Pelodiscus sinensis: one gene and its partners. The protein of the gene in region 2 interacts with the protein of the main gene of each other region in a pairwise test. Links are inferred from orthologs where the notes say so. Each region holds a gene or a part of one and is shown on either strand. Other genes may lie near its edges.

Evidence for each region.
Region 1: the proteins of ARHGEF7 (region 2) and GIT1 interact in binary tests that used the Homo sapiens proteins (3 or more experiments, as listed by UniProt). The link is inferred for Pelodiscus sinensis from reciprocal best matches to the Homo sapiens genes ARHGEF7 and GIT1.
Region 3: the proteins of ARHGEF7 (region 2) and SH2D1A interact in binary tests that used the Homo sapiens proteins (3 or more experiments, as listed by UniProt). The link is inferred for Pelodiscus sinensis from reciprocal best matches to the Homo sapiens genes ARHGEF7 and SH2D1A.

What each region holds. Positions count from the first base shown.
Region 1 is NC_134731.1:2,289,650-2,299,582, reverse strand, and holds the start of GIT1 (ARF GTPase-activating protein GIT1), read left to right. Parts: upstream 1-5,947; 5' UTR 5,948-5,978; coding exon 5,979-6,297; intron 6,298-9,933. UniProt on the Homo sapiens protein: GTPase-activating protein for ADP ribosylation factor family members, including ARF1.
Region 2 is NC_134711.1:239,395,314-239,405,765, reverse strand, and holds the start of ARHGEF7 (rho guanine nucleotide exchange factor 7), read left to right. Parts: upstream 1-5,848; 5' UTR 5,849-6,069; coding exon 6,070-6,234; intron 6,235-10,452. UniProt on the Homo sapiens protein: Acts as a RAC1 guanine nucleotide exchange factor (GEF) and can induce membrane ruffling. Functions in cell migration, attachment and cell spreading. Promotes targeting of RAC1 to focal adhesions. May function as a positive regulator of apoptosis.
Region 3 is NC_134723.1:31,987,313-31,997,695, forward strand, and holds the start of SH2D1A (SH2 domain-containing protein 1A), read right to left. Parts: upstream 4,296-10,383; 5' UTR 4,117-4,295; coding exon 3,980-4,116; intron 1-3,979.

The DNA of each region.
Region 1 (9,933 bases), on a different chromosome or scaffold from region 2:
GCATGCTGCACCCCCCCATGGTTTACATGGGGCTTTGCTTCTGCCCCACATCTGGGTCTCAGCTGTCCTGGCAGCTGCTAGCCCATGTCCGGGGCTCTGCTGTTGGCCCCTAGCCTGGGGTCCTGCCTGATGCCCTGCACCAGGGTCTTAGCTGCCAGTCCTGTGCCTGGACCCTGGCTACCACCCCTCCCCCAGGTCCTGGCTGCCACCCCACCCCCAGGTCCTGGCTACCACCCCACCCCCAGGTCCTGGCTACCACCCCACCCCCAGGTCCTGGCTACCACCCCTCCCCCAGGTCCTGGCTACCACCCCACACCCAGGTCCTGGCTACCACCCCTCCCCCAGGTCCTGGCTGCCACCCCACCCCCAGGGGTCTGGCTACCACCCCACCCCCAGGTCCTGGCTGCCACCCCACGCCCAGGGGCCTGGCTACCACCCCTCCCCCAGGTCCTGGTTACCACCCCTCCCCCAGGTCCTGGCTATCACCGCACGCCCAGGTCCTGGCTACCACCCCTCCCCCAGGTCCTGGCTACCACCCCTCCCCCAGGTCCTGGTTACCACCCCTCCCCCAGGTCCTGGCTACCACCCCTCCCCCAGGTCCTGGCTACCACCCCTCCCCCAGGTCCTGGCTATCACCCCGTGCCCAGGTCCTGGCTGCAGGCCCAGTGCCCCACAGTTGTGGCCCCAGCCCTGCCCCTTCTGCTCCCAGCTCCAGCTCTGGGGGTAGTGGGGGGACTGGCTTTCAGCACTCCTGCCCCACTGTTCAAAGTGCTCCAGCCAGGACAGAGGGTGACTCACTCCGCAACCACCCTCTTCCGTCCCTTCCCTCTGCAAAATCTGGCAGCGGCCAAAGAGCTGTCCGCAGAATTGCTGGGCTCATGGGCAAATCCAGGGGCCCCACATGGGGCGGGGCCTCATGCAGAGGGGGCGGGGCCTCATGCAGAGGGGGCGGGGCCTCATGCAGAGGGGGCGGGGCTGGGGTAGCCTTCCCCCAGCCACTTCGGTGCTGCCGGCCAGGGCAATTTAGCGGAGCAGGGCTCTGGCGGCAGCCGCGAGGTGACAGCCCGGAGCCCTGGACCTTTTGGCCCCTCCCTCCGGCCTGGCCGGGCGGCGGGTCTGCGCCGTCGGGCTGTTCGTCAGACACGGCCCAGCGGGCCGGCGAGTGCCCCATGTGGCGTAGTGGGGGGGGGCTGTCTGCTCTGTGACCCGGGTCCCCCGCGCTGGGCCGCGATTCCCACGGACTCCCCCACACGGGGACTGGCCCAGACACCCAGGCCCAGCCTGGGCAGGGAACAAGGCTCTTCCCGGGGGAGACAAAGGGAGGGAGGGAGACGGCCACCGGGTGGGGGGCAGGGCCGGGAGCTGGGCAGCTTTTGGCTGGGAAACATGAAGAGAGGAGACTAAGCAGAGCGCTGGGCGTTCGGGGGCCTGTGGACCCCACCCCAAGGGGTCTGAGGCATCCTGGCCCTGACTCCGGTACCCACATCCCGTCTGGGCTGGATCCTGGGCAAGCAATAAACCCCCCTGTTCTACTGGCTGCGGAGTCTCGTCTTGCTGCGGACGGGGTGCAGGATCGGGGATGCCCGACACCCGCGCGACGGGATCCCACCCCAACCTGCACACGCGCCCGGTGCCACTCAGGGGCCTCCAGAGACCGGCAGGAGGGGATGGGACACGGGCGGGGCAGAGAGAGGCCATGCCTAGGGTGCAGTACAGGGTATATGACACACTTCCCCGCTTCCCCTTCCATTCCCCTGTGCTTGGCATGCCCGTCCCACTCTGCCTCCGCCCCCCGCCAGCCCCTGCAGCCACAGGCCACACACGCTCGGCCCCAGCAGGAGCGGGGATTACCAGGGGCGTCCTTCCGGACCCAGCCCTCTCCAGGCCTGTTTTCCTCCCCAGCGCGCCAGCTCTCCAGGGCCGGGGCAGCCGCTTGCGACGTGCCGGCTGAGCCCAGCGCCATGGTGGAGGGGGGGTTGCTCGAGGAGCCGCAACAAAGCGGCATTCAGCTCCGAGGAGCAGCCCCCGCACGCCCAGCTGGGGCTGGCATTTCTCGGCCCAGCGTGTGTGGCTCTGCATTGTTCAGCAGCGGCCATGCTCCAGCCCAGTGGCAGGCGACGTGGCAGGCGACGTGGCGTCGTGCATGCCCACGCGCGGGGGGGTCAGAGAGACACGCGTCACACTTGGAGTGCTGCTAGCGTGCCCTGGCGGATTGTCTTCCCCTCGGCCCCTGGGCTACAGCCCCATCCTTCGCCATGGCGATGGGATAACGGGCACGCTGACAGCGTGTCACGCCCTTGCCCCGCCCCCTGCCCTCGGGGGTGCCCTGCGCCCCTGGCTGGGGCTTAGAACGGTTCACACTTTGAGTGTGCGCCCAAAGGTTCACTAGTGTGAGTTCCGTGTGCGGGGTTTCCGGAGCCACTTTGATCCCGGAGCTAGCTCAGGCCACAGAGCAGCTCTTCCAGGCCTGTGGGCCTCCAAGCAGCAGCTGAGCAGGGAGCTAAACCTGTAGCGGCGTCAGTCCCCACTCCACGGAGCCCAACACGGTAGACCCGGCAGGAGGAGAAGTGACATGCCCAAGGTTACCACGCAGGGCAGTGGCAAAGCTGGGCGTGGCCCGCAGTCATCCTGACACCCAGCCTGGTGCCCTGGTCCCTGGCCCATTGTCTCCAGACCAGGTGTCTAGGCTGTGCTGTTGCTCGCTGGGCCAGCTGTGAACAAGCCTTTATCGCAGCCACATCCCCAGGGCAGCGTTGGAGCGCCCTGCCCAGTCATCTCCCACCCGGCGTGGGCCGGCACCTAAAAGAGCAACCCCCTGTCTACGGGCATGGGCACTTAAGCACCCAGGCCCGGCTGTGAGCAGCCCAGGGCCAGGAGGCAGCCACAGGGGTGTGGACGCCCCCAGAGCAGAGCCGACCAGAGATCGTTTCCCCTGCAGCGTGGCAAGGGCCCAGCTGGCGAGGGCGTGGGCTGCTCAGGCAGGGCAGGGTGCGTGCCACCCCAGGGCGCCGGCACTAGCAACCCCTCCCCGCCCGGGCATAGACATTGGCTAGTGCTAGGGAGGGGTTGTACCTGCCACAGGTCCCCTGCTGCCGGCCCCTGCCCTCCGCCCAGGCGAGTCGGCACGTGCGGGGCACAGGGCTGGGGGCAGACAGGGCCTTTGCCTTCCCAGCGGTGGCTGCGGGGGGGTGAGGCTGGTGAAGGGGACGCAAGCGCGAGGAGGGGGGAGAACCCCCGGGGGGTATTTGCTGGGCTGCCAATGGAGCGGGGCTACCGGGGGCTTGCGTCCTGTCCTGCCAGCCCCGCCCCCCGGCAGAAGTGCTCAGCGCCAGCCTGGCCAGTGGGCTCCAGGGTGCCCAGCGCCTCGGCAAAGCCGGCCCTGGGGCAGCGGTGCCCGTCCGGACGTGCATCCCGCCTTCCCAGGCCTCAGGATCCTGCCCTCCCCCCCGCGGGTTTCACGGGCGCCGAGAGAGTCCAGGGCCAGGCCTGCCCTTCCTCGCCTAGTGCTGCATTGCTGGCCTCCGGGCCTGGCCCCTGTAACTGGGGGAAGCCGGCGCCCTGGGGCGAGGTTCCACTCTTCTCGGGGAGCAACGCCCTGGGACGACGGCTGGCTGGGCGGCTCCCCCACGTCCCTCTGCTCCCAAAGGGTGGGGGTGATTGGGAGAAAGCTAGTGGGCTGCGCCCAGGGGCCTGGCTCTGTAGGGTTGCCAGGTGTCCGGTTTGCCCCATCCAGTAAAAAACCAGAAAACATTGGACATGTGAAATGTCCGGTATTTCCGATTTCCCTCGGATGGAAGCCTGCTGCATCTGCATTTTCCCCTGCTGCATCTGGCAGGTGTGGGGAAGTGAGGAGCTCAGCGCCATTTAAAGGCACAGTGCCTTTTTTTTTTTTTCTTTTTGCTCAACAGAATTTTTTCCCGTTTGTTTTTTTTTGGAGGGTGTTCGGTATTTTTGTTAAACCATCTGGCAACCCTATGGCTCTGCGGCCTGGAGGACGGTGCTCCAGAAGCAGGGACGCCCGGTCACGTGCTCCTTCTTGTGGAGCGTGGCCTGGACCGTAGCTCAGCGTGTCCTTGCCGGAGGGAGGGGGTGGCCCTTCTGACACATGCCGGGGAGGGCGCCCGCAAACTGATCCAGCGATTTCCCCAGCGGAGCCAGCGATCCTCGGTGACATCAGACCTGTCTCCACAGCAACCGGCAGCGGCCTCACCCTCGCGGGTGCAAGGGGCAGCTGGGCTGGGAAGAGCTGGGGGGCCAGGCGGGGGAGGGGAACGCAGGATGCGGCTGCTCCCACAGCTCAGGGGCAGGCCAGGGCCCAGGCGGGCTTCCAGGCTTTGGTTAGCCCTGAGGCGCTCACGGCCCCTCCCCGGCTCTTTGGGGTTCCCAGGCACGCCAGAGGCATTTTGTCTTTTTTCCCAATCCCCCCTCCAGAGCTGCATCCTGCACCCCAGCTCTGTGGCCCAACCCTGTCTCAGTGCAGAGCAGACCCGGGGGCGGAGCGAGCTGGGTCTGCACCACGGCTCCTGCCCAGCAGGGCCGGGCCCAGCGCCAGGCGCGGTGGCTTGGTGCCCGTGGGTGTCTCTGGACAGCAGTGCTTCGGCCCAGGGCTGGGCAGGTGCTCTCCATGCAAGAGGCCAGCTGGGCGGGGGAGGCTTTTCCCCGCCGATCGGCGCACAGAGGCTGAGCGTGAGTGTGGGCATGGGCACAGACAGCACCTGTGGCCGCAGAACCACCAACCATGCCCACGTTGGGCCCAAGCAGCACCTGGGTTCCCCACCAAGGTTCCTGGATCAGAGCGGGGCGGTGGAGCTATTGCAGCCGCCGGTGGGAGGAGGGCCGGGATGGGCAGAGGGACTCAGCCCCGTAGCTCCCAGCTTGCCCTGGGTTTCTCCCTCCTCCGCTGTCACAGCTGGGGTGCAGGCTAGGGATGTTAAATATCGGTTAACGGAATAGTCGAGTAACCTCGTGCATTTTTATCGGTTAGTCGACTATTCTCTAGTCCCGGGGGTGGGGCTGGCAGCCAGTGTATCAGAGGCAGCATGGGGTGCCAGGCTGGAGCTGGTCCACAAGGGGAGCCAGTTTAAAAAGCAGCCCCTGTCCAAGGGGGATCTGAGCTCTTGGACCTGGTGCGAGTCGGAACTGAGTGGGGCTGCCTGTCCGCCCGCCTGGCTCCTGATACACTTTAAAAGCAGAGCCGCCGCAGGGGCAGGTTCTAGACCTGGCATGAGCCGGGCTGCTGGCCAGCCTGCTAAATCCTTTCCTGGCAAGGGGAGGGGAGGGGAATACGTGTGGTCTGTAACACTGACCTGTGAGCTTTCGCTTATCGGTTAATGGACGGTTACATCCCTAGTCCCGGCCTGCGGGCGGGCGGGCGGCTCTTGAGCAGAACTGGCCCTGGGCGTGCGGGGCCGGGCCTGGAGAGCAGGTGGAAACGTGCAGCAGAGACGTGGGTCGGTCCCCCAGGCATATGGGGGCGGGGAGCAGAGTGGTGAGGGGCTGCCAGCGGACGCGCTGAGCGGGCTGTCTGAGAGGACGGGCCTGGCGGGTGGAAAGGGGCAGGGGACGCAGGGACCACACCAGAGAGTGGCGCTGAAGTCCCCGCTGGCCCTGGGGGGGGATCTGCAGTGTCGCCCCACAGAGGGGTGTAATGGCTGAGATGGTGGCAGCTTTCCCCATGCATGGGGGGCAATGGGGGAGAGACCTTGCGAGGGGAGCCAGCTGGCAGCCCCCCCCCCCCGAAATCCTGCAAAAGTGGGCGGAGCCGACCCGAGCCAAGGCCCCGCCTCCTCCTGCAGGGGCGCAGAGCCAGGGACAACAAATGGCCAATGGGGTGGGGGGGTTGCAGGTGTGAAACCAATAAAGCGGAGCGGCCCCGAGGTGGGAACCCCGGGCAGCCCCAGGCAGGGCCCCAGCGTGCAGACGGGGGGCCAGGGCGCAAGGCAGGGGCGCGGCGCAGACGAGCGCCCCCGGCTGCCCGCATGGAGCAGGGACCGGAGCCCGCGCCCCCCTGCTGCGCGCCGCCCCTGCGCGCTGGAGCTGCGCTGCGCCCCCGTGCGCCCGCCGCTCCATTTCCTCCGGCAGGCCGGGCCCGGGGGGGGCGGGGAGCCTGCGCCCAACCCCTCCCTGCGCAGGGGCCGGGCTTGCGCCGCTTCCTGCAGGAGCGCGGAGCCGTGGGAGCGGCGCGAGCCCCGCACGGCCCGGCCCGGCCCGGCCCCGAGCTGGCCCGCAAGGCCGCGCCGCGCAGGATGTCCCGGAAGGTGCCGCGCAGCGAGGTGTGCGCGGACTGCAGCGCCCCAGGTGAGCGCCCGGCCTGCGGCTCCGGCCGGCCAGTGCCAGGCCCCGCGGCTGCGCTGTGCGCGGGGACCCCGGCCCTCCCCAGGCTCGGCCCCCCCCGCGCCCCGGTGCGTAGAGCGGGGGCCCTTCCTGCCGGGGATGGAGCCCGCGTGGGCTTGGCGGGGATGCAGAGAGCCCGGTGCCCGGGGGGGGAATCTCGCTGCGCCCCTGCCAGCTGGGCACGGGCTGGGCACGCGCCCCTGGCACGGCGCCGTGGCGCATGGTGGCGGTGGGAGCCCTCGCACCGCCCGGGCGCCTCTCCCCTGCCCCCCAGCAGCCCCACCCGCCGTGCCCCCCAGCCCAGGCTCTGCTGCCCAGGTGCCAACCCCGGCGACTCCCTAGGCCAAGTGCTCTTGTTTCCCAAAGCCCAGGGTGCCCCCCAGCCCTGGCCGGGAGCCGTGCCAGTCGGGCACGAAGGGTTCCCCGGCAGGGGTCTGGTTGGGTGCCGTGGGCAGGGGCAGCCGGGGCGAGAGGGTGCGTCCGCTGGGGCGTTGAGTAGGCAGATCGCGGGGCTGGAATGGGGGCCCGGTGCCCGGATGAACATGGTCTGTGGGAGCTGGGCGTGGCCCTGGTGTGGTGCCCCCGTGTGTCACACCGAGCCCAGCCTGGCGTGACGGGGTCCCTCGCTGTGGGACTGGGAGCCGGCTCCTCCATCCATAGCCACATGAGGAAATGAGCCTGAAAATCCAGCGGGGCTGTTTCCGGCTGGGGGTGTGCGCCAGCCTGGCCTCGGGCTGGGCAAGAGCTGGGAGCGCGGTCACGCTGGGGTGTTCCCAGCCTGCTGAGAGCCCAGCACATCTGTGGCCCCAATCCAGTTCCCTGTGGTAGCCACCCCCTGGGGCTGGGCAGGAGCCCTGGCCTGCCCCCTCTGCTACTCTCTGGACGTGCCTGGCATGGGCTGGCCTGGGGCACATGCCAGCGAGGGGTACTGGGGGCTCCCAAGCAGGTGCCCTGCAGGGCCCAGGGCTGAGCAGCGGTGAGGTGGGAAGAGGGCACCCCCTGCTGGCGTGCCCAGGAGAGGGCCTTGCTGTCCGGGCATGGGCGGGCACCGGGAGCCAGCTATAGCCGTGCCATGTTTCCAGCTGCTCAGGGTGGGATCGGGGCCACAAGGCCGTCCTGCGCACCCGGTGGCTTCTGAGATCCTACTGCTACGAGAGGGAAGGGAAGGGCAGGCTGGCACCGGGGGTGGGGTCGCTCCGGCTGCCCCTGCCCTGTGCCCTTCGGCACCTGGGGATGCCTGCAGCCGGGGGGTGGGCGGTGCGTTCTGTTCCTGCCGGCGGCTGTGCGCACACAGCACAGACACAGCCCGTCTCCCTGCCAAGGCCGCCTGTGCCTGAGCCATCTGCGCGCCTGCGAGGTGCCCACGCGCATCCTTCAGGGCCTGGGGGTGGGGCACGCGCGCTTCCTCCCCACCCGCACCGTGGGGCAGAGCGGAGACGAGCCAGGGGGTGGCATGCTTGGGGCCAGCTCCCCTTCCCAGTCGTGCACCCCGGTGCCAGCCAGGAGGGGCTCCTGCGCCGGGGGGAGCCAGGCTGCCTGCCCCTCCACCAGTGGCGAGCTCTGCAGTGCCCTGCAGACAGGCTGGGGAGCTGTTTGGGGGCTGGAAACCCGGGCGCTTTACCGGCGCTGTGCCCTGGGCAGGGGGCTCCTCTGTAGCGAGCCGGGACAGGCCTGTGTCTGAAGGAGGCCTCCGTGCCCTTTTCAGGTAGCTCTGGGACACCCCCCCTCCCCGGCTCTAACCTGGCCACTGGCCCCTCCCCGCTCCCAGAGCCACATGGGACTGGAGGGTGCCCCCGTGCGGGGAGTCAGCACAGCGCTGCTGCACAGGTCCCTGGGCCAGGCGCTCTTGAGCAGCCAGGAAGGAAGCGTGGGGCGGGCCGGCTCCATCCGCAGCAGCCCGGCTTCCTCTGCAGGGATAACGGGAACTGGGCTGTGGGGCCGGTGCCAGGGCTGGGGGGGGTCGTGCTCATGCCCCCCACCTCCTGGCATTCAGCTGCGGGGAGGCCGGGGGCCCCGGCACTGCTTGCGTGCTGGCTGGTGCATGGGGAAGGGGTAACTCCTTGGGGCAGGGCTGTGGCAGGCGCTGGAGCTGGGCCTGCTCCCCCATCAAACCTGCTTCCCTCAGCTGGGCGCCGGGCTCCGGCTGCTGCAGAGGCTTTGTCCGGGCCTAGTCAGGCCTGTCCTGGCGGCCCCTTCCCAAACCTCCCTCTGCCCGGCTAGGGCCCGGTGCCAGCGCTGGGCGCTGGCCAGGTCGCTGGGCTGGGCCCATGTGGGGCAGAGCTCAGGGCTCCGGCCCAGCGGCGGGGGGCCTGCACACGGTCCCTGTGGCTTGGACCCCAGGGCCCAGCTCATCAGGTTGGGAGCCCAGCTGGGAGCTGGGGCTGCTGCCCCCCTGCCTCCGCCCACCCGGCGCCAGCTGCAAGGGGCGCACGGTGGCAGGCTGAGCTCGTGGCGGCTGGGGCTGAGGAGGGGCAGGGCGTGTGGGCAGGGCAAGCCGCGGCGTGGGGGCTGGGCTCTGTCCCTGGGGCTGCCCGCGCTGGGCTCCGTGCCCTGCTCGGGTGAGACCCCTGGGTGGTGCTTGGGCGGGTGCTGCCCGCAGCTTGTGGCTGTGGCCTGGGAGCAGCGCGAGGCAGAGGCAGGCCCGGGGCCTCCCTGTGAGCAGAGCTGCGGCCAGGGCCTGTGCCCTGTACGTCCGCCCCCGGCAGCATCCTGCCTCCATCTCGGTCCCCGGCCGGCGGCGTGTGCAGGGTGCCGCTGGGGCTGCAGGAACCCTCCTCGTGCTCAGCCCCCCAGCCTGGCCAGGCCCGGCCCAGCCCCCCTTGGCTCTGCTGACGGGGGTGGTTAAACTGCAAACCGCGTGTGCTGCAGGCTATGGGGGGGAGCCCAGCATTGGGCTGGCAGGGGCAGCGGATTGGCACTGAGGGTGGGGCTGGGGTTGAGTGGTGGGGCTGTGGGGCGGGGCTGGGATAGAGGAGCCGTGGGGTGGGACTGGGGGACAGGGTTGGGATAACGGGGCCACGGGGCAGAGCTGGGGCAGGTGCCGGCACAGCGAGGGGCCACGGGGCCCCTGGCACTGAGCAGGGCAGGCCCTGGGGGAGCCGTGGCTGGCGGGGGTGGCACTGGCTCCAGCATGAAGCGCTTGTTCTCCCCGGCCCCGCTCAGAGCGACGTGGCTCCCCCCCCCCCCCCGGATCCACCCTCTAGTGCTGCTCGGCGCCCTGCTCTGCTCCCAGCTGCACATGGGGGGCAGCGGGAGGTGCTGGGCGCTGACCCCGCTGCAGGGACCCCGGCTCCCGGTGGCTGAGGGGGCGGCCGGCGCTGCTGCTGCTGGCTGCCCGGAGCCGGGCTGGGCACAGCAAGGCCGAGCTGCCTGGGGGGCAATGGAAAAGTCTCCTCCCCGGGGGGGGGGCAGCAGAGCTGGGCGTGGAGGAGGCAGGTCAGAGGCACCGTGGGGTCGGCCAAGTGCCCAGGAGCCCCGGCTGGGTGCCAGGCTCTGTGTGACCAGAAAAGAGAAACCAGGGAGCTGCGGGCTGGGAGTGGGGGGCCTTTGTGTGCCCCCCCCAGAGGTACAGGAGGACCCGGCTGTGGGGCTGGATCTGTG
Region 2 (10,452 bases):
TAAAGCTGGATGCTTGTGGTGTCAGTAAGATCTTCTCATATCTATATAATAATTGCCTGATCAGCATTTGTTGGATGTTTAGTGTTAAGTATTTAATATTAAATGTTTAATTGATATATTATCACAGTTAATTGGTATATTGTTATAAGGCATCAGAATGTTAAATAAATGATTATATTCTTAGAATGTTACATGCTATAGACTGAGTTAAGTGAAAGTGTTATTGCGGTGTTGTTTCTGCCATTTTACTTCATTCCATTTTTCTGAAATCCCATTTTATCTATCTTTACTCTTTTACTATAAACACTTCTAAGTAAATATTATTTTGTTTACAAAGACTTTACAGTTTATTTGCCTATTCTTGATCAGAAGGATGAATCTGTGTCCTTAAAGGGAAAGTTAGCTAATGGTGGTTTTGCCTGGAATTTCCTTTAGGGTGGGTCACAATCTTGACTACCAGATTAGATACATGAAATGATAAAGGTTTTAAATAGAACAGTAGTGTTTTAGGCAAACTCATTGGTTCTGTATAGTTAACTCCGAATCTTCCAGTAACAGAATAAGAGATGATCCCTGGCCCAATGAGTTGACAATCTACATCTACAGGCAGTCCCCGGGTTACGTACAAGATAGGGACTGTAGGTTTGTTCTTAAGTTGAATCTGTATGTAAGTCGGAACTGGGTCCAAATTCAGCCGCTGCTGAAACTGATCAGTTTCAACAGCGGCTGAATCTGGACGCAAGTTCTGACTTACATACAGATTCAACTTAAGAACCCCAGGTATCCCCAAGTCAGCTGCTGCTGAAACTGATCAGCGGCTGATTCCAGGAAGCCCGGGGCAGGGGCTTCCTGTAGTCAGCCACTGGTCAGTTTCAGCAGCGGCTGACTTGGGGACGCCTGGGGCAGAGCAGCTGGGGTGCTGCTGGGTTGGTCCAGTAGCGCCGCCGCTCCTTGGCGTTACTGGACCAACTCAGCAGCACCCAAGCTGATCTGCCCCAGGCGTCCTGATTCAGCCGCTGCTGAAACTGACCAGCAGTGGCTGAATCAGGATGCCTGGGACAGAGCAGCTGGGGTGCTGCCGGGTTGGTCCAGTAGCGCCCAGAGCGGCGCTACAGGACCAACCGGCAGCGCCCCAGCTGCTGTACCGCAGGCGTCCGGAGCAAAGCCGCGGAGCACGGGGGCAGCGGGACAGCCCAGACGCGCTGTGGCTGTCCTGCTGCCCTCGGGCTCTGTGGCTTTGCTCCCCATCCCCCTGGTCTGCAGACCAGGGGGACGGGGAGCAAAGCAGAGCAAAGCCACGGAGCACGTGGGCAGCTGACAGCCCAGACGCGTCTGGGCTGTCCGCTGCCCGCGTGTTCCGCCGCTTTGCTTCCTCTCCCTGGTCTGCTGGAGACCAGGGAGAGGGAGGGCCCCATTTGTAACTGCGGATCCGACATAAGTCGGATCCGCGTAACTCGGGGACTGCCTGTACAAGACAGACACAGGGGAAAGAATAGATGAGAATGTGCAAATGAAATAAATGAGTGATGGTTTGTCAGTGTCATAGAACTAATAGAATATTTTAACATTTTAAACAATCTTTGGGTGGCTTTTTGTTTATTTTAGTCTTTATTTTTATTTGTATTAACTACATTATAGGGCAATGATAGGAGGGATTGGATGACTGGAAGATTAGCTAAAATGAAAAACATAAAAGGTGAGTGGAAAGAGGGAGGGAAAAACAGGAAGAAGCTGGAGGGCAAGATGGAGATGGGCATAGAAGGAGATCAGAAGCTGAAATGAAGACCATATGAGGATCTGCAGACCAGGGGGACGGGGAGCAAAGCAGAGCAAAGCCGCAGAGCATGTGCAAGAAAAACCCTCTTGAGCAATGCCGTTACACCTATTACTTTTCAGGAAGAACAGCATTGCGCAAGAGAGTTTTTCTTGCGCAAGAAGGGGCAGTGTAGACGCTCCTCCTTGCGCAAGAGGCTCTTCTGAAAAAAATGGTGGCTCATTAGGTATGCAAATGAGGCTCGGCGATATTCCACGCTTAGCCTCATTTGCATATTAATCGCGCAAGAAGCCTCGAGTGTAGACATAGCCTTTCTGTTTTATATGTTGTTGGAAACTATGCTCACAGGTTTTCCAGTTAGTTTGGCCATCTATACTATTTTCTGAACAATATCAAATATTCCAATATTCTTCTATTGCTTTTTTGTACAGATATATATTATTTAGTTGCTCTTAAATGGTCTGTTGAAGGAATAAGTAGAAAAGCAAAAGTGATATAAAATTGAATGCTAGCATACATTTTGGAAAAGTTATTAAGTGGATTGTGCCCATGAAAGCTAATGATACCATCTGCATTTTAGTTATTCTCTATGGTGCTGCAAGACTATTCGTTGTTTATTAAATCGCATGTTTGTCAGTTTAAGACAATCTCTAACTATAAAGGATTATGAGGAGATGTAACGCAGAGGGCAGACTATACAATATTTGCCTGCACTTCCCTCTGAAGCTGCTGCTGCTAGCTACTGTTAGAAACAGGATACTGGACTAGACAGACCTTCCGCAATTGCTATGTTTCCTGTGTGCATATAAAATGAGTTTAGCAGCAACATATAGCAAAGTGTGTTGGGCCACTAATGATGCAGCCAATCCTGCAATCACATGGACCTTTTCTAGGCTAGGAAAACAGATTGTTTTTTAAAATAAGTTAGCTACCAAACTTTGAACATAACTTTGCACCTTGTGTGGCCACTTCAATACTTTCAAAAATTTTGACCTTAAGTGCCTTAATAGGGTCTTGTCTAGACAAGGCTTTAAGCACATGGATAATTTCAGTCACAGAAGTAGTTTAAGGGTACGTTTAGACAGCTGGGCCATTTTGGGATACCTGAAATAGCTATTCTGCATCATTTAAATGCACCCGTTATTTTGAAATATTTTTCAAAATAATAGGCATGCTATTTCAGTATCCCTGTAAACTTTGTTCCACGAGGGTTAAGGAATGTGTCAAAATAGTGCATTGTTTTGAAATTTGGCGCTGTATAGAAATAATTAGAAATAATTTCAAAATACAATTGAAATAAGATAGGCAATTTGCGTAGCACAACCTAACTGACATAAATGGGACAAAGCAACAAATACATTATAAACCACTTTGCACAAGTTCATTTGCAAAATATTTGTAAGCACTTTACACTGGCTTAGCAACAACTACCATAAATTATAATTGTGGAAAGTCACAGAAAGAAAATCAGTGAACCATATGGCAGACTGTAGACATGATGCCTGGAAATGAACACAGCCAGGGAAGCCAGCACTTCAGTCACTGAACATTGTTTTAATAATTGGCTCATTGCTCATATAAACTGCAAGCAAATGAATAAAATATCCAAATGGGATCAGTTGGACCATGGATATGCTGCCAATGTTCCTAGAAGGAATTCTCATTAAAATGTCCTCCTTTAGCCTTGATAAAACCCATATTTCTGAGATGAGAGTACTTGCAGATAGGACAATGAGGATCTGATGAAACTATACACTTTTTCTCCTGTTTAAACAAAAACAATTTGACCAAAAAAAATTTGACCAAGACAAGTGTATTTTGCTGTTCCTTTGTTCTTGCAAAAATACAAACTAAATTATATATTACTAGAAGATTTACCTGGTGTTGCTTGGGTCCTTAACTCAGTTAATTTTTGTTTTGCTTCATTTAAATCATTGCTCTGGTGTGGGGCTGGGAATGAGAGGTTCAGTGTGCTGGCTGCCCCAGGGATAGAGGACAATCCCAATCCTCTCTCACTACAGCAGCTTGGAGTCAAGTGAGAAATGCTTCTCCATGGCTGCTGCAGTTCCAGTGGGCATAGCTAAGGGAAGGTCACATGTCCCCTGGCTGGGACAGGTCTAGGTTTGTCTGCCCCCTACACTCCCCAGCCAGAGTGAGGAATGCAGCAAAATATGCACTTTCCCCTTGCTCCTTGGCGAATGGGAACAGCCAGCAATGTCTCTGTACAAATTGGGGCAGGAAGAGCTGCAGCTTCCTCTGCCCTCCCTAAAGGCATCTGGGAGGGGTGGGAGGCTTGGGGCTGACCCAGATGGGGGGCGGGTGCACCCCCAGCCATCCCCTTTCACCTGCCTAGTGATTCTGCCTCTTTTCTGTATGGTTTTGTGTGTCCCTGTATGAATCAGTGGGGAGCGTCACCCTTCCCCATCCACACACCCAAACCCTGACCTTGTTTTAAGGTATGATAATAGGAAGCTGTATACCAAATTTGGTGGTCCTAACTCTTATTGTTTAGGAGTTCTTTTTATGCATCCCTGTATGAATGGGGGGGGGGGATTCAGCCCCTCTGCCCCCGCAGAACCAAACTCGTACCTTACTTTAAGTTTAAGTTATGAAAAGAGGAAGCTACATCACAAATTTGGTGGTCCTAGCTCTTACTGTTCAGGAGGAGTTGAACAGACGGATGGACAGACAGATTGCAGAAAGACAAACTTTCTTAAATATATAGTAGATATAAACTGTTTTACAGTACACTATTAAATTTGTGTAATTTGAAATAGGGAGCTGAGTGCAGTTTTGCGGGAAGTTTAGGAGCATTCTGCCCTGGTAATTTTTACAACTCTGTAGCTACAATTTGGTACATTTCAAAGAAAAAAAATCTACTCAAGAATATTTTTGTGAAAACAGTTATCTCTGTAAAGGTGTTTAGAATGGGTCAGCATTATCAAAAGTAGAGAAAGCAACTCAATCCTCTTTTATTTTGGTAGTAGAGTTTCAATACCTGACTTGCTCCTGCCAATTCTGCTCCTTCAAAAAACGGCAGTTTTCTTGTTGGAAGTCTATTAAGGTATTGCACTGGGTTTCTTTTCCTTCTGGTATCTGTATGGCTCCAGAAGTCAAATGTAATAGCAGTAAAACACTTTGACTAGGAAATATCAAATTATACAAAATCGTTATTTATAAATCTGTTCTCTTTTATATGGTGCGTTCATTGATTGCAATGAAGTGTCATAAACCAACCCTACACTAGAGGGCACATAAAACAAATTGTTTGTTTAATGTTAGATCCTTGTTAATGCTACCAAGGTCAAGCACAATACAGAGCAGACCTATTCCTGGCAGATTTTATGAGTCCACTCTGCACTGTTTAGGATCCATCGTGTTACATAGGGAATTAAAATGTTCACTCAGCACTGTTGGCTTGCCGGGCAGTAAAAGAGAATATGGCACACACTTATTTTTAATGCCACAAAATCCTGAAGGATGCCACGATTTGCCAGATCAAATATCCACGTTGCCTCGAGGTGAATAACGCCTATATAAATGTTACCAGTGTTAGCCACCATGTATATGGGGGAGGATTTAAATAGTGTCTCAGGCAGCATCTAAATCTCACCATGGATACTGGCTATGTGTATAAATATGTGCACGGTTTGCCAATGTGTGCATGGCAACACCCATCCCCATGCAATATGTGTGACTCTATCAGACACAAACACATCCCCCCCCACACACACATTGTTCCTGTTACCTAAGCAGGGTTCATTTGTGCACTAGCTCAAACGTTCCCATTTGTATCCGGGGTGCAGAGGCGGGAGGGTGCGATCGCCACAGAGGTGCCAGCGCTCGGCGCGGGTTGCAAAGGAGGCCGGTGCCCGCAGCAGCTGCGCCCTCCACGAGCCGCAGGTCTGTGTGCCGGGCAAGGGCCCCGCGTCTTTTCTTCCCCGCCGGCTGTCAGTGATGTCATGCGGAGGCGGCAGCCGGCGCTGAGGGCGGAGGAGGGGGAGGCGCTGCAGGTTCATGTGTGTGCAATGAAAAGGCAGTTGACAAGCTGCCAAAGCGCACGAGAGGGAGAGGAACCGGACCCGCTGGCTTTCGCAGAGCCAGGCGTCATCTGCAGCAGCTCCATGGCGCGGGAGGCGGCGGCGGCCCCGGCCTCTGCTGCTTCCATGTGAAACCCCCAGCAAAGGGGTGGGGGCGCTGGGGGGGCACCGTCCAAATCCAGCCTCCTCCGGCGCGCGATTGCTTCCTCCCCCCCCCCCCCCCAGCCGCAACGCCTGGCCGCGGCGGCAGCAGCCATGAACTCCGCGGAGCAGACCGTTACATGGCTGATCACCTTGGGCGTGCTGGAGTCGCCCAAAAAGACCATCTCGGACCCCGAGGGGTTTTTGCAATCGTCGCTGAAGGACGGGGTGGTGCTGTGCAGGCTGCTGGACCGCCTGCTCCCGGGCACCATCGATAAAGTAAGTGCACGTTCCTCGGCCCCTTCGCCCCACCCGGGCCCCTTGCGGCGGGAGCAGCCTGGGCGTGTGTTTGGCTCCGAGCTCACCCCCCCCCCCTCCAAGCCCTCTAGCAGCCAGGCTCCCGCACCCAAATAATGCCCCGCAGCGGGTCATGCATCCGCCCTGCAGGGTGTCAAATGCAGCCAGGCGCCAGTGCAACCGCCCCATGTGCAGGAGGAGCCTCTGGCGCTAAGCGCCTCTGCTGTGTAGGGAGGAAAGGGGGCGCCGCGGCGGGGAGAGCGGCGCTTGCTGCGCGCAGCCACAGGGGCTGCACCCGGGAGACGCGTCCCCGCCCGGGTCCCCCCGCGCTGCTTCCCAGCCACGACCAGGCCGGGCAGCGAGCCGCTCCGGGATGAGATGCGCGCACTTTCCTTTGTGCACCGGGCCCCCTCACCCCACCCCTGGAAGCACAGACCGCGGCACGGGCGGCGGGGGGTGCCCCACGTCAGGGAGGCCAAGCCCCATCTCCGCCCCTTCCGCCCGCGCCCCACCCCCACGGGCGGAGCCCCCAGAGCCCCTCCAGCCTCCCGGGGGAGCCTCGGGCCCGCCCCCCACCTGCCCGGGGCAGCTGAGGGTGGTGCGCGCGGTGGCAGAAGCTGCGCGGCACATCCCGCTTCTCAGCCGCATGGCGCCCCGCACAGCAACAGCCTGCCCCCAAACCCGGGCTGCGGGGCCCGCGGCCGCTCCCGGGGCCTCTCCCGGGGCAGCGGCAAAGGGAGCGGGGCGGCCTTTCCCCTGGGCCAGCGGTCGCCAGCCGCGCGGCAGCTTCCTCCAGCGGGCAGCACCGCAAAGGCGCCATTGCCGGGGGACGGAGGAAGGGGCGCAGGCGGGCATAGACTTTCCCGCAGGGCTGGACTCAGGAGGTCACTTAAAAGGGCAGGGAGCCGGGCTAAGGCAGAGCTGCCCCCCCTCCTGCGCGGGAGGAAAGGGGGAGACTGCCCGGTGAACAGGAATTCAGCTGATTGAATACGACTGTGATGTGTTAGATTCTGTACTGGTCTATTAAAAATGGCCAGATGAAAACAATTTCCCAATCAGATGTCTTCCTGCAGGAACCACGTGACGAAATCTTATTTAGGAAATTATTAAGTGTATTACAATGAGTCTTTACAAGAACCGAGGGCACTTCATAACCAATAAGGGTGACAGTGGGGTGTGTACACCCTCACACCCCTCACCTTTATTGGTTATGAAGTGCCCCAAGTGCTTGTAAAGACAGAGTCCTTGCCCCAAGGAATTTACATTCAAAAGCCATGATTTGGTTTCTGTGGGTACACTGAATGGAGAGGTTCTGTGCAGTCATTGTTGATCCACCCCAGTGCAGGATTGGGGCCTAAACAAAGGTGATGATAAGCAGGGAGAGTGGGCCAGACAACAAGCAGTGTAGTGTGCTCAAATGGTGACCTGTGTATATAGGTTTTTGGGGAGAGGAGTTTTTTTCAATTTTTGTGAGATTCTTTTATAGGGGAGAAAATGTCTCTCAATATTAAAATCCTAGCTGTATGTGAAAGAGAAATGTATACAGAATTAGATGTATTTATATCTGTCTTACTTTAGGACATTCCAAAACCAGTCCATATAACTACTGGAATATTAAAAATGTTTCCAACAGCATAGGATGCAATGTGACTGGGTCTCAGTAAACAGTAGAGGAATGTTTTTAAACACTAGAAATAGTTTTCATGTAGACTGTTTGCTTTTCTATTACTCAGGCCTTTTATTGTTCACCTATCATTCAGAACAGTCTACTTTTTTTTAAACTGACATGGCATTACAGTTTTATTTTGTGTTATGTGAAAAATACAAACATAAGATGTGAAATAACTTTTATGTACCATGTACACTTATATACATGTAACCCTTTTTCCAGGTAGTGCCACTAGCATCCAGGGCTAGGTTCAATATGTGGGGGTTCCTCTCCATCCATCTAACACAGAACTGGCTAAAGCCCCCAACCCGTAAGATGGGAAATTCAAACAACACCCTTGGGTACTTTTGAGAGGCAGTGCTTCCCCATTGCAAGCACAGAGTCTGAGTGCAGAAAAGAAACCTTTAATATAACCTTTAATAGAGGAAAGGGAAGTAATGTGGTATTAATTTGTGAAAACACCACAAACAGGGTTCATAATCAAAACCATGAGTAACAGTCCCACCCCAAGTAGATTGGACAATGTCCTTTTCCTCTCAGGTTCTTAGGCCCAGCAATGTAAATGTCCCCTCCACATACCCAGCCCTTTTCTGCACCCCATTCACAGTTGCTGCCCTTGGTCAGGGCAGACCCGGAGTTCAGAGGTGCATCCTCAGAGTTCACCTCCTATCCTGAGAGGGGTGGAGGTAAAGAGGCATCTTACTCCACTGGTCACTCACCATCCACCTGCTCGCTGCTGTCTGGCACTGCTCTGCTGGCCATTCTTCGCCCCTTGCTGCCGCTGCTCTGCTGGCTGCTCATTATGCCTCTCCATGGCCGCCCTGCTGGCTGCTCATCGTGTTGCTGCTGCTCATGGCATCTTCCACTGGCTTGTGGTGGATTTGACTCTGGGCCAAACCTAGTGATTTCAGCTCTTGGCCCAAAGCACAGTCCAGCCACAAGAGATTCCAGCATTTGCTGGAGTAGATTTAAATACTAAAAGAGACTTCTTATGAAGCCTTTCTGTAGCTCTATCATTGAAACAGAGGGGAGAAACAGGATGCACCAGACTCACAGCTCGCACCTGGAGGGTATGTAGCCTGCTGACTCAGAGTTGCCCTCCACAGCTTAATCTTACAAGGCTCTGGGATTGGGGCTTCTATCCATCCAAGTTTATTTACACCAGTGGTTCTCAAACTTTTGGCCCATGACCCATCTGGATCTATGCAAGCCTTTCTAGGGACCACCAGTTGCTAATGGAAAGTCACTGTTAATTACGCCCAAGCTATTTTGTTGTTGCTGCAGCTAGGAAGAACAGTTTAACCAGTAAAAAAGGAAATACTAACTTATTAAACAGATCAAGTACTTTAACTCAATTTAGTTTATCAAACTTCATTTTAAATACAGTAAAATATTAATTTATGTCCAATACAAAAGGTTCCCATGTTTTCTTTATTGTTGGCAGGGGTGGGGACCTTTTATTGGATCTGGGGCCATTGACCCACAAAAAAAAAATCTGCTGGAGCACACAAGCGAGTAGCAAAAAAACTCCACCAAAACTCCACAACCCTCACTGTTGTACCCGCCAACTGATACTCCTCACTCCTCTGGCATTCCAGCCCCAGGGGGCAAGAGAGGACTGAGATTCAGGGCTTTCCATGGGCTGGTTTTACTCTTGTGGGGTTTCAGGGTTAGTGGATTTTGTGGACCTCCCAGGCTCTGAGGTTCAGTGTGGGACAAAGCTGCCAGTGAGTGGGATAAGGGTGAGGGTGTGGGATCTGAGTAGGAGGTGGGGTGCGTGAGGGTGCAAGGTCAGGGCAAAGCAAGGGAGGGTGCAGGGGCAGGCTGGGGGAAGGTTATCAGGCCAGGGCAGGTTGCAGGAATAGGTTGGGGCTCGGGGTCTCAGCAGGGGGTGATGCAGGAGCAGGGTAGGGGTGCAGGATCTGGGCATGAAGGGGCGGCAGGGGCACTTACTTGCTTTCACACCCCACACTGGTCACAGGCATCGTGTCACAGGCACAGCTTCCTGTTGCTCCCATTGGCTGGATTCCAGCTAGTAGGAGCAGTGGGGAAAGCCTTCAATCAGTGCGCTGCTGTTTCCTCAGCTGGGGGAGGGGGAAGGGAAGTTCGGAGGAAGGGGGCCAACTGAGCTTGAGCCGCAGACCACCTGGAAGGCAGCTGTCCACGGACCACAGTTTGAGAACCACTGATTTACACTGACAGTGTCTCTTTGGGTATGTCTACACTACCACCCTAGTTCGAGCTAGGGTGGTAGTGTAGACATACCCCTTCTTCTTTGTGTCAAGTTAAGCACAGACTTTTTTCTTTTGTATTCCCACAATAATTACAGACATTGCTATTAGTGTGAACACAATTTGTGACCCAACACCATCCAAGTTGATTACAATGAGCAAAACACCATTGTAACAGCTGAATATCTAACACATCTAAGCAATGCAGAGGCAAACTGTATTTACATAGACACACCCAGGGTTTCTCTCCCATTCCAGCTGTCTGTAATGGAAGCATTCATTCAGACCCTGCTTACATAC
Region 3 (10,383 bases), on a different chromosome or scaffold from region 2:
GAAGAAATTTTTCACTTGGCTCAAAATAAATCGGTTGGGATTTTGTTTTAAACACTCCTCCCTCCAAAAAAACCCAAACCTTGCTATTTATTTACACCACACTGTAATCAGTGGAAGGAGGGAACTCTGAAACATGTTTGGGGTTTTGCAAACCAATTTTGTTGCTGTTTCCATTTAATCAAAAAAATTTACCCTGCAAAAACTTTTCAGTTCATTTGAAATGTTTCACAGAAAATACAAATTTTTTTTGTTCACTTGAAGACTTTACCATTTCAAAAATCATTTCCTAGTGATTGGATCTGTAGTATAGTAAATGGTACATGTTCTACCTAAACACTCTCTAGGTATTCCTAGAGCACCCACCACTGGAGTTTCTGAGTGCTGATTAAAAGGGGGTATTTTAATAGCATCATTATTTTATTTGTTATTCGTTGCAAAGAGCCAACACTGTTCTGTGTGCTTTACAAGCAGGTATGAAGTCAAGATCACACCCCCAGAATTTAATTCAGAAATACATTCTATGGTTTACTAATGGTTTGGGGCGGGGGGTTGGGTTTTTGTTTTGTTTTTGCAGTGATAAAGCCCAATTTCTACACACATCTCTTTTTGGTTTTGTCAAGGCTCCATAACCTGTACAGTTGTCACTCCAGTCCTATGTGTGCTATCTCCCTGGATACTTGCCAGTATAAGATTTGTTCTTCCTTACCACGGCAAGCATCTACAACCAACTATGACTTATTGGCTGCTATCTCTCCTCTTTGCTGTGGTGTTGCTCAGCTAGCTTACATTTTTTGCCTGCTATAGTAGACTATTTCATACACGTATCTAAATTACCATCACATTGCCAGATCACTCTGAAATCATCAACTCATTGTCTCCTAGTTTATCATCTGAGATGCTAATTATTGTACAATCTACTTCTTGCACCACACTCATTATTGAAATACTGTACTGAACAGTCCTGAACCTACCGCTCATCTCTGTGATTCTGCCACCAGATTTCCATCCATGTCAAATCCTAGTTCTCTGTACAATGTTGTTCTAGCCACTCAATTATAGATCTCCACTAAAAGGTGTAAAAACTTTTCCTAAGCACTTATAGTCTGGATTACAAACACTTTACTCTCTATGGTTTTCAGGTAAGTAATTTGTTATCTCATCCTTTGTTCATTCAAATGTATCCCTAAATGCAAACATTTATTTCCACTTTGCACATTTTCCAGGCACAGTTAGGAAGCTGTTTTATTATTGATTGCATGCCCATTTGTCTTCAGACCTATGAGCATCTTATTTAACTGTCCTAATCTGCTCTTTAAAACCTGACCTTCCTCACATTCATATAAACAAACTGCCTTTAATATCACCAGAAATTTTTACTGATTAATTGCAGTTCCATGTCCTTGTTATAAGTTAAGTAATGAATGTAGGCCAGCTAGTCTGATTTCCTGGAATCCTGCTCTATTTTTCATAAAGCTGGATAAAATTGTTCATGACGCTCCAATTACCTGCTACCACTCACCTCTTCTGGATCACTCTACAAATGATAAGTAGCTGTTTCCCCATTTCCTCTGATAGTTCTTTAAGAACGCTTGGACTCATTATTTATTAGCTGGTTCCTTTTACTAGAGATGTATCACTGCTTTTCATATCTATCTACCTCAAATCTGCATTAGCGTTTAACTCAGTACACTTCTTCTTAATCCCTTAAATTTGGTTGTCTTGTTAAAGGCTGAAGTAAAGCAGATATTAGAAGTGTCCGCCAATTTGGAATTATTTAATGTTTATTTTTAATTCTCATTTACTAGGGAAAGACAGGACAATTCTTTGTGATTAAGGCACAACAATAGATGTATAAAAATGGAACTGGATTGTGTTTACAGTTCGACTACAACCTTTTCATGTCAGCCTGGGACACTTCTTATGTGGCTCTACACCTCACTTTGCCCTTATGTGAAATAATAATAATATGCACAGTTTAAAATTCAAGGCTAAAACCAAGTGATGTCAATGAGAACATTCATACCTTTGTTGGAAAGTATGATATAGATATTATTTTAAATTGAATCATTAAAAAAGGGATAGAGAATAAGACAGAGAATATCTTATTGCCTCTATATAAATCTATGTTCACCCACATCTTGAATACTATGTACAGATGTGGTCGCCTGACTCACCTCATCTCAAAAAAGATATATTGGCATTGGAAAAGGTTCAGAAAAAGGTAACAAAAATGATTAGGGGTTTGGAACGGGTGCCTTATGAAGTGAGATTTAAAAGACTGGGACTTTTCAACTTAGAAAAGAAGAGACTAAGAGAGGATATGATAGAGGTCCATAAAATAATGACAGGTATGGAGAACGTGAATAAGGGAAAATTATTTACTTGTTCCCATAACATAAGAACTACAGGTCATCAAATGAATTAATAGGTAGCAGGTTTGAAACAAACGTTCATGCACTGCACAGTCAATCTGTGGAACTTCTTGCCAGAAGATGTTGTGAAGACAAGGACTTTAACAGGGTTCAAAAAAAAGAAGGCCCATCAATACTTATTAGCCAGTATGGGTAGAAATGGTGTTCCTAACCTCTGTTTGTCAGGGGCTGGAAATTGGTGACAGGAGAGAGATTGCTTGATGATTCCCTGTTTTGTGCACTCCCTCTGGGGCATCAGGCATTGGCCACTGTCAGAAGACAGGATACCTGGCTAGACTGGACCTTTGGTCTGACCCAGTATGGCCGTTCTTATGTACTAATATATTTATTATCTTATCCTTTCTTTATGGAAAAAAAGCCTGCTTTATTTTTCTTTTATCTCTTTTAGTTAATAATAATCATTGATCTTGTCTTGGTAATTTCTTGCTGATATTAGCATATCCTTTTAATATCCCTTTTCCCTCTTTCATTGCTTAAAGTAGCTCTCGGTACAGACCTGTTGGCCATTTCTTTGTTCTTTTAGTGGCATAGCACTTCAGCGTGCCTGCTCAAAGCTAATACTCTGGATTTTTCGCCCTTCGCTAATAGAACTCACACTTCTGTCATTCCAACCCCCCATAAATATTAAGCCCTTTGTCAGCTCATCTCCATTTCAGAAGCGACTCATCAGTGCCTTCTCGCCAAGTGGGTGACCTATGACAGACACCTCATAGGAATTCCTCCTTCTGCCCCAACTCTATCATCCTGATACATTGTCACCATTTTCTTTATTATCTAGCTCTGCTTGACACGTTCAGAAATCAGCAGCAATACTCCCAGCGCGCAGGGATATATTCCCCTTTACTAAGGCAGACAAAATCAGACCCTGAAGAGTTGGCAAGCTCTCACTTTCAATAAAGCATCAATATTCCTCCCTACGAGCCCCCTGGGGAAAGGAAGGTTTGGGCTGTCCTGCTATTCAGTGTAGTAAAGAGGAAGACAGGCAACAGGCAAAGCCAAAGGAGCAAGAAGCACGTGCAGTATACCATCTAAAGTGCATGGCTTACGCTGTTATAGCCTCATTCCTCTTTCCTTCTCTCCACCCCATCATTGAGATAGATTTGCCTTTGCTCACTGTTCTGTGTCCCATTTAAGATTAAGCAGCCCAGGGCAGGAACCTGAACTCGCCTATCCTTTCTCTGAGAAGGCCCGAGAACCCCGAGCCTGAAGTCGGCGATGCAAAGCGAAGTCCCCACAAGGTTTTGTACACACAGAAATGTTTGCGCATTCTGCCACAAGATGACCCTTCTAACTGTCAAATGTAATGCAAGGCAGAACTCATGCTGCGAAGCCAGAGGCTGGAGGTCGAGGAAAGCCACAGGATCACCAAATGGGCTGCCCACTGGAAGGTCTCCATGCTCATGATACTTCATTAAATGGAGCTGAGACCCATAAAACCCTCTTGCAGCTGCATTCTAGGTGGCAGCTTTGACTCCCCGACAATTAAACAGACATCAGGTAAGGGGTGTTGTTGCAGACCCTGGATTCCCTTGACTTTCTGTACTCACAGCACACACAGGCAATATACTCCTGGGATGCTCTCACTGTCTCGCAGTAAATAGCTGCCATCCATCCCCGTAGCCAGCAGGAGCTTCTCCCCCGTCTCCCGGCTGATGCTCCCATGATAAACGTTCAGAGAATCCATTTTCTGTAGTTGAACCAAGCAGAGCCTGATACGACCCAGCTAGAGAGAGGTGATTGGGGTTAGTGACTGTTACACAGCTCGCTGCAGTCACCCGCCTGCTATCCAGCTGCTCACTCACTGGTTGGTATAAACAGGATGTGTTCCCACCTCCAGCTCTTCTAAAGACTTCTCATACCGACAGTCAGAGCTGTAGGTGCTGCTATCACCTATAAGGCAGATGTGCCATTTGATAGCATTCTTGTGACTCAGAGCATTCAAAAGACATGTGAATAACAGGTACATGAAGCATACCAGCTCCCTAGCAAAAAGCAACGCTTTCCTCACCACAACCCTGAAAGCACAAGCTATGGTTAGACTAAGAGCGACAGTCAAAGTACCACGTCTGTTAAGAGTTAGTGTTTTCAGTACAGTGTTTGTCTTTTAAGGGCTTAAAATGTTGGAAGGCTCGAAAAAGCGAGGGTTAGACCTGTCCTCAATTATCTACGCTAGGGCTCCCTGGCACAAGCACACAGATGTGTTATCAAATGGGCAAGGTGAGGCAATCTGGAACCAAAGGCCATTGTATGTTTTGCACGTGGTAGCAAAGACTTTAAAGGTAAAGAGGGTAAAACAAAATGAGTAACAAAGTGAAAGAGAATCACACGAACACACATGCATTTCCACAGGGCCGAGCTGACCGACTGGCATGTCCCTGTAAGAGCCAAAGCAAATTACCTGATTCTTAAACCCACTCCAAATCTGTCAGTCACTAATGCCTCTCGGGTGAGTAACTTCAGGTTTTCATGGTCCCTTTATTGCTGCTCGACCGCCACAAAGACAGTGACAGCAGATATTGGTAGTTCAAGTGACCCCATTGGGAATACGCCCAGCATAGCGTGGTTCTCTGGGTGACACGGTATTAGCAGAATGGCCCTGTGTACCCCCTCCATGCAGTGCTAGGCATAGGAACATATGGGGCAGATGTATCTGGAAGGAAATGGGTATGACCAGAGCAAGCCACACTCCAGCTCTCAGGGACTATATAGCAGCTCATAGGAGGCCATTCAAAGCCCTGGGCCAAGCATATCCCCACCCAGACCCAGAAGTCAGGATGAGCAAAGGTGGCTTGCAGCTAGTCTGGCCCCTTCTGTATGGAGCAGCTCAGAAGTTGGGCTCATGTCTCAGTAAGTGTGTTTGCTGTTTGAAGTCATTAATGCATCAGCTGCGAGCCTCAATAGGTGTCCCTGTATAATAAATAAAAATTAGCTGGGAGCAGGACACTATTGTGATGGGCACAAGAAGTGGCGATAAGATAGTACCCATCTATTAAAAGGGAAATAAGAACAACCCAGGAAACTACAGACCAGTTAGTTTAACTTCAGTGCCAGGAAAGATAATGGAGCAAGTAATTAAGGAAATCATCTGCAAACACTTGGAAGATAATAAGGTAATAGGGAACAGCCAGCATGGACTTGTAAAGAACAAATCACGTCAAACCAATCTGATAGCTTTCTTTGATAGGATAGCGAGTCTTGTGGATAAAGGAGAAGTGGTGGACGTGGTATATGTAGACTTTAGTAAGGCATTTGATACGGTCTCACATGATATTCTTATCAATAATCTAAGCAAATACAACTTAGATGGGGCTGCTATAAGGTAGGTGCATAACTGTCTGGATAACCATTCTCAAAGAGTAGTTATCAATGGTTCACAATCCTGCTGGAAAGGTATAACAAGTGGGGTTCCACAGGGGTCTGTTTTGAGATCAGTTCTGTTCAATATCTTTATCGACTATTTAAATATCCACATAGAGAGTACGCTTATTAAGTTTGCAGATGATACCAAGCTGGGAGGGGTTGCAACTGCTTTGGAGCACAGGGTCATAATTCAAAATGACCTGGACAAATTGGAGAAATGATTTGAGGTAAACAGGATGAAGTTTAATAAGGACAAATGCAAAGTGCTCCACTTAGTAAGGAACAATCAGTTTCACATATACAGAATGGGAAGCAACTGTCTAGGATAGAGTACTGCAGAAAGGGATCTAGGGGTTATAGTGGACCACAAACTAAATATGAGTCAACAGTGTGACGCTGTTGTAAAAGAACCTAACATGATTCTGGGATGCATTAACAGGTGTGTTGTGAGCAAGACACAAGTCATTCTTCCGCTCTACTCTGCACTGATTAGGCCTCAGTTGTAGTATTGTGTCCAGTACTGGGCACCGCATTTCAAGAAAGATGTGGAGAAATTGGAGAAGGTCCAGAGAAGAGCAACAAGAATGATTAAAGGTCTAGAGAACATGACCTATGAAGGAAGGGTGAAAGAACTGGGCTTGTTTAGTTTGGAAAAGAGAAGATTGAGAGGGGACATGATAGCAATTTTCGGGTATCTAAAAGGGTGCCACAAGGAGAAGGGAGAAAAATTGTTCGTCCTGGCCTCTGACGATAGAACAAGAAGCAATGGGCTTAAACTGCAGCAAGGGAGGTTTAGGTTGAACATTAGGAAAAACTTCCTGTCAGGGTGGTTAAACATTGGAATAAATTGCCGAGAGAGGTTGTGGAATCTCAATTTCTGGAGATATTTAAGAGCAGGTTAGATAAATGTCTATCAGGGATGGTCTAGATAGTACTGGGTCCTGCCATGAGGGCAGGGGACTGGACTCCATGACCTCTCGAGGTCCCTACCAGTCCCAGTATTCTATGATTCTATGAATGGCAGGGAAGGAACTAGCCTATTTGTCATCCTTATTCATTACTGATAATTGGGGTGCACAATCAGGAGGCACCATGTTTTCAAAAATGTTAGTGAAAATGTTTTCATTAGTGGCACCCACCTCTAGGTCATTTCAGCAACAGTATGCAGCTTCATCTCCTTTTCTTTCTTCCTTCCTTTCAGAATTAATGTGATTCAGCAAATGCCACTTTTAAAGTGAGTGCCTATGAGAAGCTGAGTACTTTCTTCCTTAACAGCCATGCTCGGTTTTGGTAGCTTGATGGCACTCAGCACCTTGCAGGATCAAACCCAAGAAGAGTACCAGAGGTCACTTTAAACCCATGGAAACCAAGCATGTGTTACAGCTGAAAATACCTTATCTCAACCCATTGTGCTTAGATAGTGGAGGTGATTATTTTCATGTAGTTGCATGGTATGTGAATGTGCTTAATGTCAGAGGGGCTAATTATTTCCACTTCAAAGCAGATGATACACTATTCCTAACACTTGGGTAGATTAAGCTCATAGAAATCAGCGCAGTATATGTTAGAAACTGCATTTGACATTTGGAAACATTTTTCCTTCAGCTGTTCAAAAACAACATTGTCCTTTCTGGCTTCTTGGAGCTGTAAACTTCACGCAGTGCTGATGTAATGTTGTCAGATGCTGTGAGTTCTCACACATCCTTCCTGACACTATTAGCAGAGCAGACTTTGCGGTGCTGTAGAGAAGCAGGTAAAACAAAGGATAGAAAAAAAACTCAGACACATATGCCCAACTTGAATGAAAAAATCAATTTCCTTCTGCTCCTATGGGCTGACACAGGTTCCTAGGGTTGTTTGCTGTCTGAAATCACTAGTACTGTACCTGGTCAAATCGTCTAGTTGCCTGTTTGCTAAAAGGCTAAACATTTACACCCCCACCTCCCAGCCCCTCCACCCCCCAGACACACACTTAAGACTTTTTCAGGTATGGACAAATTTCTGCATATGGAAAAAATTGCACCCTACATGTCAATACCTGGGAGTGCCTTGTATTCCTTCATCAGCATTACTGAGCATAAGCAGCTTCTACCTGTGCTTTGAGGCAGTCAGGGCTAAAGTCATTGAACAAGTATAGCTGTTCAGTGCTACCTGGTGCATCCCCCTCTGGTCCCTTAGGTAGTTCTTCGCATGAGCATGAGCAACATACCTAGCACACGGCAATGGCGCATTCTACTTTGGTCAGATACTAGACCTATTGGGTCAGGAACTGGAGACCTGATTCCTCACTGCCCTGCTTCAGTGCAATCAGTCACAATGGTCAAGGCTAGAGATAGGCCCAGACCACAACAGCTGCATTTGGACCCAAAATTCACAGGCAGCTAGTTGGTGTTTGGCACACCCTGTTCTACAGATAGAGGCCAGCCATAGAGAGAGAATCAGGAGGCGGGGCGGGGGGGGAGGAGGAATTAGGACTTTCTGAGCAGTATGTACCTCTAGTAACATGGAATCCTCAGACTCCATCTTCCATGTCTATTGCCCTAGGTAAAACCAGGGTCAATTTAACGCTCCTGGGGGTCTGGGGCTATCAGATTTTGTGGGGTCTCTGTCTACAAGTCTCTTTTCTAATTTAAAATAAAATCACCACATGCAGCCGTGTGAAGGTTTGGAGCGTCCCCTAAGCTCTGGGCTGGGGCCAAAAATGAAGGATTCAGTGTGAGACACAGGGATCCAGATTGGGGCAGAGGATCGGGATACAGAAGGAGGTGAGGACTCCAACTGGGGGGGGGGCTTTGAAGAGGAGGGTTTGGATGCAGGAGAGGGCTCCAGGTGGAGGCCTTCAGGAGGAAGCGCAGGGCAGGAGATCAGGGTGGAGGTGGGTATGTGGAGTGTGGGTAGGAGTTAGGGTGCTGGAGTGGGATCAGGGAGGGGGTGCAGGCTCTGGGAAGGCTTTTGAGTGAGGGAGGGGGCTCAGGGCTAAGGCAGGAGATTAGGGGTGCAAGTCGCTTACCTTGGGCAGCTCCTGAGCTTCCCTGATCATCGCAAGCCAGGACTCACAGCTCCAGCCCGGCAGGAAGGAACTCAGGATCAGGGCAGAGCCTTGCCATGGGCCAGATGAAATTAAGCAGGGAGCTATATCTGGCCTGCGAGCTAGAGGTTCCCCACCCATCATAATTTATTTTTGCAGGGCCCCCCCTTAGCCTGCAGCCCCTGATGTCCTTGCATTACTTCAGCCCTAGCTATAGCCACAGCCTGAGTCAGGGCATCAAGGCAGAAGGAGATGTGAAGCTGCTTATGCTCAGGGGCTTAGCAATTCCTCAGGCAAATCTGAGCTGGATAGAGCCTGAAAATGTCACCAGCAGTATCTACAACAGGGCTGTGTCTAGACTGGCAAGTTTTTCCACAAAAGCAGCTGCTTTTGCAGAAAAACTTGCCAGCTGTCTACACTGGCCACTTGAATTTCCGCAAGAACACTGACTTCCTCCTGTAAGAAATCAGTGCTTCTTGTGGAAATACCATGCTGCTCCCGTTCGGGCAAAAGCCCTCTTGTGCAAATCATTTGTGCAAGAGGGCCAGTGTAGACAGCACAGTACTGTTTTCCTCAAAAAAGCCACGATGGCTAAAATGGCGATCGGGGCTTTTTTGCACAAAAGTGCGTCTAGATTGGCACGGATGCTTTTCTGCAAATGCCTTTAACAGAAAATTTTTCAGTTAAAAGTATTTGCGGAAAATCGTGTCAGTCTAGACACAGCCCAGCTGTATAACAGTGGTGGCCAGTCTGTGGCCCATGGACCGTATATGGCCCACAAGACATTTTGTTTAATGCTGCCCAGGCGCAGGGTTTCCTGATTCCACTGGTTTCTGTCCATGGAGGTTTTTTCCTACTGGCATTACTAAAGTGACACTCACATTAAGCCAGGGCACGTGACGTGAGGTGCATGCTGATTGCACACAACATTGACTGTGAGAGCCGGGTGCTCCCTCTGCAGCCAATCAAAATGCTGCTACAGTTCAATTAGCACACCGGCAAATGCTAGGTACCCAAGCACAGTTGGCAAAACTACCCTATTCCAGGAGACCATCTCGGTTACGACAGTCTTGTGGCCCACTGAGATGAAGGGGGTCCACTCATGTGGCCCATCCATTAACCTAGGTTGCCCATCGCTGCTTTCTAATCCAGTTAGGATGGCAAGGTGTTCACTACCCCATGTAGGAAAGTGTTGGGATTCAGTTTCACTGTTTACTGTTTTTATAAATCAGTCATGAAACTATTTGCATAACAAAATAGAGCTTCATGCACTCGAAATATGGCTGTGTGCATGGCGACAAGCATTAAGCTAAGCACCTTTCCCACATAAAGCTTATGTAGCGTAGTTTTTTTTTTCACACTTCCTTCATTCTAAAGTTGTTTGGGGGATTTTATCTAACTTTCCTCTTTCTTGACCCATTTTCACTTTTAATGGGTGATATCAGAAGAACTCTGCATGGTAAGTGGGAAGATAAAAACAAAATGAGAATGCTTCAGCACTGTAAATGTCATTTGACCACGTTTAGGATTTCACTGAAGTGTTTGCAGGAAATCTTTGCACTT